Rhinolophus ferrumequinum: one gene and its partners. The protein of the gene in region 3 interacts with the protein of the main gene of each other region in a pairwise test. Links are inferred from orthologs where the notes say so. Each region holds a gene or a part of one and is shown on either strand. Other genes may lie near its edges.

Region 1 (3,748 bases), on a different chromosome or scaffold from region 3:
CAGGACAGGGACCAGCCCCTTTGCTTGCTTCCTCCCCCAACCAGGTGGCCACTTGGAGGCTATGAGTGCCCTCTGCGGGTCCTAGAATCTGAAGTTGGTCGAAGAAGGGATGGACTGGAGGTTCTTGAGGGTACCTGGGGGCCCCCCCCCTCCTGTCAGTCGGGGCCTGGGGTCTTGGGTTGTCTCGCCCCCGCCCCCTTCCCGTCCATCCGGATCCCACCCACCTGTCCCAGGTTGACGAAGCCGAATTTGCGGGCTAAGCGCTCGGCCTCCCGGTAACCCTGGGACACTCGCACGGCCCAGCTGCTGACATAGATGGGGACCCGGGCCGAAGCCCACCCCACAGCCAGGAAACAAACGAGGACCAGGCTCAGGGTCAAAGCCAGGCGCAACCAGAGAACAGTCCAGGCGGGCCGCATGGCGATGGGGGCGGGGTCGGGGTCTACAAATATCCCTCCCCCTGGCCAAACCGCCGAATTGGTCCAAGAGCCCGCCCCGCCCCCGGCGCCATAGCAACCCCTGAAAGGCTTCAACTCCCAGGGGGCCTTGCGGCTCCCCATTCAGGGGCTCAAGGATCCGACAGAAATGGGCGGGGGAACACACGCTTTCCCTGGTCTTTTGCAGACCCAAACCCTCTGGAGTCTCCCCATTTGTACAATAACCCAATTCTTCCGACCCAGAGGAGCGGGTTCACTGTTACTATGATTGACCCGCCCCTTTATTTAGCCCCGCCCGCTTTTCTACATACTCCTCCCACTAAAACAATATCAGCCCTGCCTCCTCTCCAGCCCAACCAGAATCGTTCTTTCGAGTAAGTCCCGCCTCTTCAATTTAGCTCCGCCCTTCAGATTCCGTCCCGCCTCCTTTATGACCAGCCCCGCCCCTCCTCTGATTCTTGCCAATGAATCTCTTCCCGTTTCTCCAATCAGCTCGGGCTTTTCTCAGGCCCCACCCACCAGTTCCGCCCACCCCAGCACGCTTCGCTCCTCCCCAGCTCCACCCACACAAAGGCTCAGCCAATAATCCAAGGCTATGACCCCGCCCCTCCAATCAGCTACGTCCCTCTCCCGCTCGGCCAATTGGCGCCCTCGGCCGTCGCGCCCTGCCTCCTACCTCTGGAGTCGCGGCTGCGGCGGCCGCGGCGGGCCAGAGGGCAATGCGACGGGGGAGAAGGGGCAGGCCCCACCTCCTTTGTCCGCCCTGCCCTCCCATTGGCCGGTGCGAGGGTCAGGGGGTGGAGACCAGCCCCGGGGCGGAGACCAGCCCCGGGGCTGAGCGGTGCGGCTCGCTTCGGGGGAAGACAGCGCGCGCTCCGCAGGGTCGGTGCGCCGGGCTGCGGTCGAGCTCGGGTTGCCAGCCCCGGGACGGCCGGTACCATGGACGGCCTGCGCCAGCGCTTCGAGCGCCTTCTGGAACAGAGGAACTTGGCCACCGAAGCGCTAGAGGTGCTCGAAGCCAAGACCGGTGTCGACAAGCGGTACTTGGCCGCGGGTGAGCCGTCGGGGGCGCTCGGGGCCGCCGCCCCATTTCACCGATGGGCACACTGAGGCAACCCTGGGCACCCTGGGGCAACCGGGCCTCAGACCTGCCCCACTCCAGCTGGCCCAAGCTGCGGGGTCCGGACTGGACGGCGGGGCGTGCCCCGCTGTACCGCGGGGGGTAGACCTAGATCATGGCGGGGGAGGGGTCGTAGATCTGGACCACGGTGTGCTACAGGTCCTCTCCTGCCCCCGCCGTGCGACCTCAGGCGAGAGCCCCCCCTTTCTCAGCCCCCGCAGCACGCCCATTCTGGCCCTCGGGTCTGGAGGCCCGTCCTCTGCCCCCTCCCTCAGGGCTTTGGGTGCCTGCCAGGCCGAAGTCCGGTTCTTCCAGTTGCCCTGCCGTCCCCCGGGGAGAAGGGGGCAGGAAGGCAGCCAGTGCCCTGAGTCTGGCCACCCCTGTCCCTGATGGACCCCAGCCTGAAAGCAAGTGTAGAGATCTCGGTTTTCCGAAGGGATGCCCCCTGCCAGGAGGGAAAGGTCACGTCCACCTTCCCTCCCATTGTTTTCCTGCTAGTACCCTCCTTGGCCTGCCCTCTCCCCTGGTGGCCCAAGGGCTTTGACCCACTCTGCGTGAATAGTTGAGTTGAATAGTTGAGTTGGAGTTCGGTTGTTTGACAGCTGTGTTCATTTTGGAGAAAGCTTGGATGGGGACCCAGGAAGAAGGGGGTCCAGCCACATCTGACTGTAACTTCCATTCCAGTCCCTCCTCTTCCTTTCCTCCTCAATGGCCTGGTGTGGCTCCTGCCACTTTCTAAAACTGTCCAGTAAACACCCATTAAATGCCTTCCTTCCCTGTTTTGCAGTGTACCAGTCCCACCCACTTTGTCACCTCTCCCAGGAAACCCCCCTGGAATGAATCAAAGATGCTGGGGTGGGAGTGGTGGGGAAGGCTTTAAGTGAGGACAATGACAGATGTTTTGAGCACCTTCCATTTGTAGATCCTGGGAATCCACTTTCATCCCATTTCCCCATCAATCAGGGCATCCCCATGCCAAGCAGCTCAAGGAAGATTCGATATCTGTCCCCCCCAGATTCCTAGTGCCAAACCCATGTCAGCTCAGCCGAGGACTTGCCCCTGGGAGCCAGCCATTGACCTCCTGCCTGGCTTTCCACATCCCTGCTACCAATGGGTGGGGGATTTAGGTCACAGTGCACTGGGGAGGGGCCCACCAGGGAGGCTAGTGGTTACAGGGAGGAAACTAAGGCCCAGAGAGGCAGGGGCTGTTGGGAGGTTGCCCCTACCACCTGACCTGACTGGAATATCCACCCCTCCCCCGACCCCTCCTACCCTGAGCCCCATCTGTTGCTGATCTCAGGTTGTGCCCCCGCCAAGTCCAAGGTCATCCTCCCATTGCTGAGGCTGCAGGAATAGGGATTGAGGGGAGGGGTGCCCTGGGAGAGCCGCTGCTCCCCCTCTAGTGATTTCTAGAGAAGGGGTGACATTTCCCCACCCCCTCACCCACATGTGGGAACCCTTGGACCCCACCTGCCCCAAATGGCCAAATCCCCCTTCCCAAGTAATAGGAAACCCAGAGGCGCCAGCTGGGGAGGACCCCCTCCCACTCCTGACCCCAGACTGCGATAGATACTAATGCAGGTGGAGGGAAGGGTGTGGGTGACTCTGCCCTTTGGTCCATGAGTGGCCTCTCTCTCTCTCTCTCTCTCTCTGTCTCTCTCTCTCTGTCTCTCTCTCTCTCTCTTTGCAGATAACAGCCTCAGGGGAAGAGGCGGGAGGCTGTAAATGCTCCCAAATGACCCTGGGCAAGTTCCTCTCGCCCTGCTTCCTTCTCTCATTGCCTGAGACAGAACAGGGAAGCACAGAGCCCCATACATAAGAAGTACTTAATAAATGTGACAGTTACCATTGTTTTCAGAGTGACTAGTGCTCCTGGCTGCCCCCACTCCCACACTATTCTCCTCTGAGCCTTATTGGTGTTTCTGTGACCAGAGGCCCTCAGTAATGTGTGGAAAGGACGAGTCTTCTGTGTTGAATGTATTTAGCTAAACCCACAACCCTAAGAGGCAGGGCCACTACCACCCCATTGACAGATGGGGAAACTGAGTCTCCAAGCTCAGTGTCACATGGTAAGTGAGTGGAGGAGCAGAGGGCTCTCCAAGGTCTGGGGGCTCTAGACTGCCCTTTGCTGCCTCCCACTAAGACAAGGGGTCTCAAACGGGACCATGCGCTACCTCAGGACACTTGGCAG
Region 2 (3,748 bases), on a different chromosome or scaffold from region 3:
TCAACCTTCGTGAACACTTGAAGCATCGGGGTACCCAGCTAAAGACGCAGCTGGGTATTCCCAGATATTCTAATTCAGGAGGTGTGGCTGGGCCCCAGGGGCCTGCATTTTAGAAAGCACACGGGTGGTCCAGCTCAGGTCGCAGGAAAACCACTTATTTCCGTGGGGCCGGATAAACAGAACACACTTCTGAGAAACACGCCGATGAAGTCAAACCAGGGCACTTGCCTCACCTCTCAGTCCCGCAGTTTGGCTCTCCTCCCGCTTGGGTTTATTCTGAACGCTCCGCCGCACTCGACTATTGCGGTTGCTCTGCCTTCTAGAGCACGGCTCTTTGGTCCTGAAGGGTTAGCTCGAGAAAGTAACTGCTGGCCGGCAAGCCAGCCACCGGGGGCTGCCTCTTACCGTTCACCGACACCCGGAACACGCAGTACGCGGTACCTACACTTCAGCTCAGCACTCCTGCCACCCGCCGCGGGATTCAAATAGCCGGCCCCGCCTCCTCAGCGTCTCGACGTTACTCCACGAATGTGTACGCCGCCGCCACCCGCACGTGTCTGAGAGCACCCAGAACCCTCCCAGGCCTCTACCTCGCCGTCCCAGGAACAGGAGCTTCGTGGACTCTGGGAGAAACCATTGCTAGTTGTGGGTGCGCACTGACCAAAGGGATCAGCTGCGAACCTGTGTCCACAGGGACTATTTTCTGTGAGAGTTCCGCGTAGGAACCCTTCGGTTGGCACTTTGAAGCCGCCTCCCGTCTTTCGATTGGATGCTGCAAACTTCGAAAAGAATAATTTGACCAATCCTGACAGAACGACGGGATGGCTCTAACCCAATCAGCCATCCCTACGGCAGCCGTTCCCTCTGTGGGTTGAGCGATTGGATGGGTTGCAGCCGGGAGTTGCCGACTGGTGTGGGTCACTTCTCGCGCTCCACCTCTTTCCCTCAAACCCTGCCTCCGCCTGCAGAGGAGCTCTACCTGGTTTTGGGTTTGCGCCTGCTCAGTAACGCTTTAAGCCCGCCGTTGGGCTCCAGGTTCTGCTCTGATTGGCTGATGACCCTTCTCGTCTGCCAGACTGCAGCCTCTCTTCCCTCCCTCCACCTGGGTGGGTTAGTATGAGCCCACCCAATGCAGGGTGCTGATTGGTTGAGTGCTGGCCGATGCTGCCGGTTGATTGGTGGAGCTTAGAGTCACTCTGGGAGAGGTGGGGGAAGGGCTCCAGGATGACTGAGGAGCCCAGGGGCGGGGTGGACAGGAGGACCGGCCAACCCTGGGGTGTGGGACGGAAAGTGCGTGCGTGTGTGTGTCTGTAAGAGAAGGAAGGTGGCGAAGGGAGGAGATTTCGAGTGGGAGGAGGGAGGGGAAGGGCGGGAGAAGAGAAAGGTGGGAGGAAAGCCAGGTGGGAGGGTGGCGACTCACTCAGGACCCAGTGGGGGCAGCGCGATGAGGCGGGTGACCCTGTTCCTTAATGGCAGCCCCAAGAATGGAAAGGTAAGGGGGTCCGGAGGAGGCGAAGAGGGCCTCGCTGCTGGGGGCGTGGGCAACGGAGTGCGGAGCGGGCTCTTAGGGCAGAGGGCTGAAGTTGGGGAGAGGGGTTGGGAGGTGGACGTGCGCCGGTGTGGGGTGCGTTTAGAAGGTGAACATCGGGTCCCCGCGGCTTCCTCCCAACCCCGGGATTTCTAGCTGGAGCCTCTTTTACTCCCCAGTCGCCCCAGGAACTAGCGCAGGTCAGCTTGTGCTTGATCTTTACAAGTCCAGGTATGGGGCGGGAAGAACGCAGGTTACGGAGGGTCGCTGTCACCTGATCGCTTGATACTGAGCGCTCTTCCCACCTCCTCCCGGAAGACCCCGCTGCCCCCCTCCCCTGACTACTGAGGCCGCTTATTTCCACCTTCGTGCTGACTAATGCTCTGCTCCAGAAAAGTGGTGGATACAACTGAGGCATGTAAGGTTGACCGCGTAAAAATTAAACTCTTTATCAGTGGATAAATGAAATATTCTTCTGGGTCGCATAGAGGATTGAAAATTAGGGACATGAGGTCCCCCGCCGCCACCAAACTTCTGTACTCTGTTATTTCGCCTTATTTTAGCTCCTTAGAGGACTCTGACAATAGGCCAAAATGGATTGATTTGACATTACTCCTTGCTGTGTTAGGCCTTTGTTCAGGGTGTGGTATTAAACATTTTTCCAACGCCAGAACAAGCCAAAATGAATCCTGCTGCTTCTCAGCTTCTTGCCCCACCCATGAAAGTTGTTGGGCTTCTTTGGAAAATTTGACTGTTCAAGGCAGACATTTATGGTGCGTCTAAATGACGTCTACAAGTAACTAAGCATTAGAGTCTAAAGTAAAGGTAAATTGGCCTCACTGTATTATTTGCTAGCATGCTTTGTCTTCTGCATATTTTGAAAATATTGTAAATTTCTAAATAGTGTAAATGTGCCACGGTATAAAACGTGGTTTCCCAACTATTCTGCAATTTTGAGTAAACATGTTCTAAAAATCTGAACCACAGTGTAGTTTGTTGACTATAATTTTGTGTTCTTCTGGTTTTAGATATTTAATACCCATATAAAACAGAACTGGCATAAATTCAAGTTTTGGGGTTTTTTATAAATGCTGCCTAAAAATATGCTTAGCAAGATTTACATTACTTCTGATCATATTAACTTTTTCTTTCTCTACCTGTTTTGTCTGTTAACTACCACTCACAACCTAAAACTTACATTGTTATTGAAAGATTTAGTATATCCAAAGTTATAATTGTAATATGTTCTCAAAACCAGACCTCTGATTGACCTTTTTCCCAACATCTCTGCTATGTTATTCCATGAAAGACAAAATGTTTAGACCCAGTCATAAATATTTAACTGTGCTATGAATCTCTTCTGAAACCACTGAATTTTGTTATTGCCAAAGATTGTCTCTATCTTTAATAAAAATTTTAAAGCTGTCTAGTTTTGATGAGGTTAGATTTTTAGAGAATCTCAGAAGATTGGAAGACACATCTCAAATAAAGATAAATATGTTTATGTTACAAAAATCCATAAAGCCCCAAACTGGAGAATACTAGTATGATTCAATATTAAAAATAAGTCATGCCATAATCCTTACTACTCAACTGGAAAACATATTCTATGCCAAAGTTGTCAGTGTTTCCTCTCCCTTCAGCTGATTAAATATATATATATATATATATATATATATATATATATATGTATTTATACATATATGTATAATTCTGGAACATCGAATATATATATATATATTATTTGAGAAAAAGAGCAGAATAATAACAGCCTACATGTTAATATAAATAAAGTTTATTTATATTATAGTTAGCCAGGATGGCATGATCATGACATTGATGTTCATGAAAAACATGATGGAACAAAGCACAACTGTGAAATAGAGTTGGATTTCCCATCCACCAGTTGGAATAGCTGTGTCACTCCCATTATCTCTTTATTTACCTAGCTTCAATTTTTGTTTCCTGGTCATAAGAATAATGTCTGGTTTTTCAAATTTCCCTCCTGTAAAGCTTATCCAGTGGTTGCCATACTGGGCTATGAAGCCTTGGGTGGGGGAGGCAGTCACTGCAGGTGAAATCTGCTCACTGTGACTTTTCTGTGTAACTAATGAATAAACAATCAAGTGTAACTAGTGAATGTTTTGAGGTAGAAGAGAGGGCTGTGCATTCTTTAAAACAGTGAGATGGTACACCACAAAGGCTAGACAAGGGGATCCA
Region 3 (3,748 bases):
TCTTGTCTCTGCATTCTGTTTCATTCATCTGTTTGTCTAGTCTTTTGCTAATAACACATTGTCTTGATTACATAGCTTAATGATGTAGGGCACTATTAGGCCTGTGACTTGGTTCTCTTCTTCGATATTATGTTGGCTCTTCTGGGATTTTTGTTGATATAAAAAAAATAACTAGGATTTTGATTGAGTCTGTGTCAAATCTATCAAGTTGAGAAGAACTGACATCTTGACAACACTGAATCTTACTATCTATGAACATGGAATATACTTCCATTTACTTGGATCTTTTATTTCATCAGGATTTTATAGTTTTACTCATATAGATCTTGTATATATTTTGTTAGATTTATACCAAAGTATTTCACTTTTTTGCATTAATATAAATGATAGTTTCTTTAATTTCAAATTCTAATCATTCACTGCTAGTATACAAAAAGCAATAATAGTTTTATGTATATTAAACTTGTACCATGCAAACTTGCTGTACTTGTGTATTAATTTTAGGTTTTTTTGGGGAGAGGGCCCAATTCTTTGGGATTGTGTACATAATCATGCCACCTGCGAACAAAAATGGTTTTATTTCTTTTTTCCCAATCTAGCGTGTAATTATTTTTAAATGTCTATTTTATCAACTAGACCATAAATTCTCTGAGGGCAGTGTTCATCTTATTTACTTGTCATCTCTTTTCTGCTCAGATTTTTATTAGAATTACCAGTTTATTGTGGCACTAAATAACAGCTAGACAAAAAATGCTTCTACGTTAATGCTATTTCGTATTCTATGTTACTCCATGGTAACTATGGTAAACTTAGGTAACTTAGGAAAGGTGTGCCTCAGTTTCTTTGTATGCTAATGCAGATGTTAGCTATTTTATAGATTGATGTGAGGACCAAATAAGACTATATACATCAAGTTCTTAGGGCAGTGCCTGGAACATAGTTAGCCCTGAAGAAATACAGTTTTCAGTTTTTATATTAGGATACAGAAATTTTGTGCAGGACTACACAACCTTCAACAGCCAATGAACTTTAGTTCAGATAGACAAAGAGTAATAAAAGTCAAAGAAATAAGTTGTAACACAAAGAGGGCAGGAGCTGAAAAAGGTTGGTGGGAGGAATGTTTCTGAGCCTGTGGGTGAAGAGGTTAGTGACCACAGTGGTGAAGTCCAAAGCTGGGGTAGGAATCTCCAAAAGATAGGTTCTTCGGAGTTTCTTTGTGTCGGAAGGGATGGGTACCACGTGACCAAGCGCCACGAACACAGCAGTGAGCAGGTGGCACCGGGCCCTTGGGCAGGAACTACTGAGAGGGTGGAGAAGGTGGTGAGCATAACCGGTGTCAGCGTGGGCGGCTCCACATTCTTCAATCCCGCACCCGGCCCGGTCACCGTTACCACACCGCTGCCCTGTTACCATGGGGACGGGTCACCTGACTGGGCATCGCGCGCCTGCGCGGGTGGACGGCGGGGGTGGTTCCGTGACGCGACTCGAGGGCGGTCTTCGGGCGCCCGCCGCTTTCCTCCCTTCGGGTCTCGGAAGTCCGTGCCAGTGACCGGAGGCGGCGGTGGCAGGAGCTGGTTTCCGCGGCCTAGGTAAGCATCGCTGAGGAGGAAGAGGGACGCTCAGGCTGCGTCCGGGGCGCGGGGACAAGGAGCGGAGGCGTGGGGACCCTGGATCACTAAGCGGAGAACGTCTACGGGTTTCGGGAGGTGCCGGCGGCGACGTCCTCTCCTCGGTGGGTTCCGCACCCCCCCGTGCGCCCTCCCGGGCCCGGGGTGAAAGTTTGCCTGAGCGGCGCGCTGTGCCTGCCTGCGACCCTGCGGGTGTCGTGGTCCCTCCCGGGCCGGGGCTGGGGACAGAGCCCTGAGGCCGGGCCCGGGGCGCCGCCGTCAGCCCCCGCCTCAGCTCTGGGACTCTTTCTCATTCCGGTCCTTGTCAACCCTTTTTGTTCTTCTTGGGTGAGATCCTCAGAGACCCGTGAAGAACGAGCCCGCTGGCTATGCTTCATCGACCCTCGCATTCCATGGGGTTGTACTTAATCACCTTCCTTGGTGGCACAATCGGAACGTCCGGGATTTGGTAGGAGGAGGAGGTTGTTTGTTGAGTGGGCGAAGCCTTGACTTTCTGGAAGGGGGCGTGGGGGGGAGGGGATTGTTCTCCGGGCCTGTTTCTGGAGAAATTGAAGGAGAGGGAAAAACGTTTCCAGTAGGGTGTGTTCAGAAGGAAGTATCCCTTGAGATCTCGTGACTCAGAGCTTTCATTTCAGGATTTCCTGGTAATAATGGGAAAAGTGAAGGCATATGGACGTAAAGTTTTCCTTTTCACTAAAGTGGAATTACTTAATCATGGAGTTTTCTAATGTGCCATTTTTTGAAAGGAATTTCTAGATTCCTCTTTTCTGTATATGTTGTCTGCATGCACATTTACTGTTATGTTTTCCATTAGTAAGTCCATTACTCAGAGAGTACACTTGGTTTACTAAATTCTTAACATGAACTTGCTTCAAAGAAGAAAACAATCGATTAAAAAGGAAAATTACACTGCATGCTCTTAGCTTTATATCAAATATATATTAAGTGATTTAACTCAAATTCCTCCAGTCTTTAGTTTTTCTATTTGCAGTTGAGGGCAAACGGTAAAAAAATAAATAAATAAAAGAGTTTATTTTCTGTTACCAACTTACCAAAAAAGTCTGTTCTACAAACTTTTATGTTTTAAATGGTACATTGATACAAATGATAGATCCAATGGTTTGTGCCACAGAATAAAAATAAAGAAGTGAAATGTCTTCTAAAAGGTTCAGGAAGTAGTTACTATAATACTTTAATCTAAATATAACTTTGACAACATTAATTTTGAGTTATGTTTGTGCGTTATAAGAAAGGATATAAAAATCATGACCCAAAGAGGAAGAATTTACTAATAGTGGCATTCGAATGAAGTAGTCAATAAACACTTCCTTAAATTGAGCATGACTCAACTATTTTTTTCCTGTTTTGTGGGATCTTTCGAAAAAGAAAGATCCCTCAAAATACTTTTAAAAATAATTCCTACATCTAGTAATAGTTATATTAGCACTTACTAATTTCTTTCTAACTCCTGCAAACATTTTTTTGGTATATTTATATAGATTTTGAGGAAGTAACCAGTAACATGGTTCAAAATTTAAGCAGTAAAAAAGGTATATGGTATAGTCTTCCTTCCTTCTAGGTTCTCCAGCCAACTATATTCCCTTGTAATAGGAGCCAGCTGTTTTACATTTCTTAGGTATCCATCTTGGGGTATTTTATACCTATACAGACAAACATACGTATAAATATATTTCCATCCTTTTCTTTTTTCCACTCTTTTTGTTGAGGTAAAATACACATAGTGTAAAGTTTCCCATTTTAACCATTTTAACTGTACAGTTCAGTGGTATTAAGTACATAGACGTTGTGCAACCATCACCACTACCATCCATCCCCAGAACTCTCTTCATCTTTAAAATTGGAACTATACCCATTAAACAGTAACTCCCCATTCTTTCCTCCCCCTGGCTCCTGGCAATCACCATTCTACTTTGTGTCTTTATGATGTTGACTAAGTACCTCATATAAGTGGAATCATACATTATTTGTCTTTCTGTGATTGGCTTCTTTCACTGACTGTGATGTCCTCAAGGTTCATCCATGTTGTAGTATATTGCAGAATTTTCTTCCATTTTAAGGCTGAATAATATTCCATTGTATATACAAAGGGTGCCAAAAAA

What was found.
Region 1: the proteins of SDCBP (region 3) and REEP6 interact in binary tests that used the Homo sapiens proteins (3 or more experiments, as listed by UniProt). The two-hybrid records come from large-scale screens. The link is inferred for Rhinolophus ferrumequinum from reciprocal best matches to the Homo sapiens genes SDCBP and REEP6.
Region 2: the proteins of SDCBP (region 3) and KCTD9 interact in binary tests that used the Homo sapiens proteins (3 or more experiments, as listed by UniProt). The two-hybrid records come from large-scale screens. The link is inferred for Rhinolophus ferrumequinum from reciprocal best matches to the Homo sapiens genes SDCBP and KCTD9.

Annotation. Positions count from the first base shown.
Region 1 is NC_046301.1:61,581,088-61,584,835, reverse strand, and holds the start of REEP6 (receptor expression-enhancing protein 6), read left to right. Parts: upstream 1-1,249; 5' UTR 1,250-1,376; coding exon 1,377-1,491; intron 1,492-3,748. UniProt on the Homo sapiens protein: Required for correct function and survival of retinal photoreceptors. Required for retinal development.
Region 2 is NC_046301.1:41,690,249-41,693,996, forward strand, and holds the start of KCTD9 (BTB/POZ domain-containing protein KCTD9), read left to right. Parts: upstream 1-1,348; 5' UTR 1,349-1,444; coding exon 1,445-1,492; intron 1,493-3,748. UniProt on the Homo sapiens protein: Substrate-specific adapter of a BCR (BTB-CUL3-RBX1) E3 ubiquitin-protein ligase complex, which mediates the ubiquitination of target proteins, leading to their degradation by the proteasome.
Region 3 is NC_046297.1:20,117,289-20,121,036, reverse strand, and holds the start of SDCBP (syntenin-1), read left to right. Parts: upstream 1-1,449; 5' UTR 1,450-1,589; intron 1,590-1,712; exon of another isoform or gene 1,713-1,732; intron 1,733-3,748. UniProt on the Homo sapiens protein: Multifunctional adapter protein involved in diverse array of functions including trafficking of transmembrane proteins, neuro and immunomodulation, exosome biogenesis, and tumorigenesis.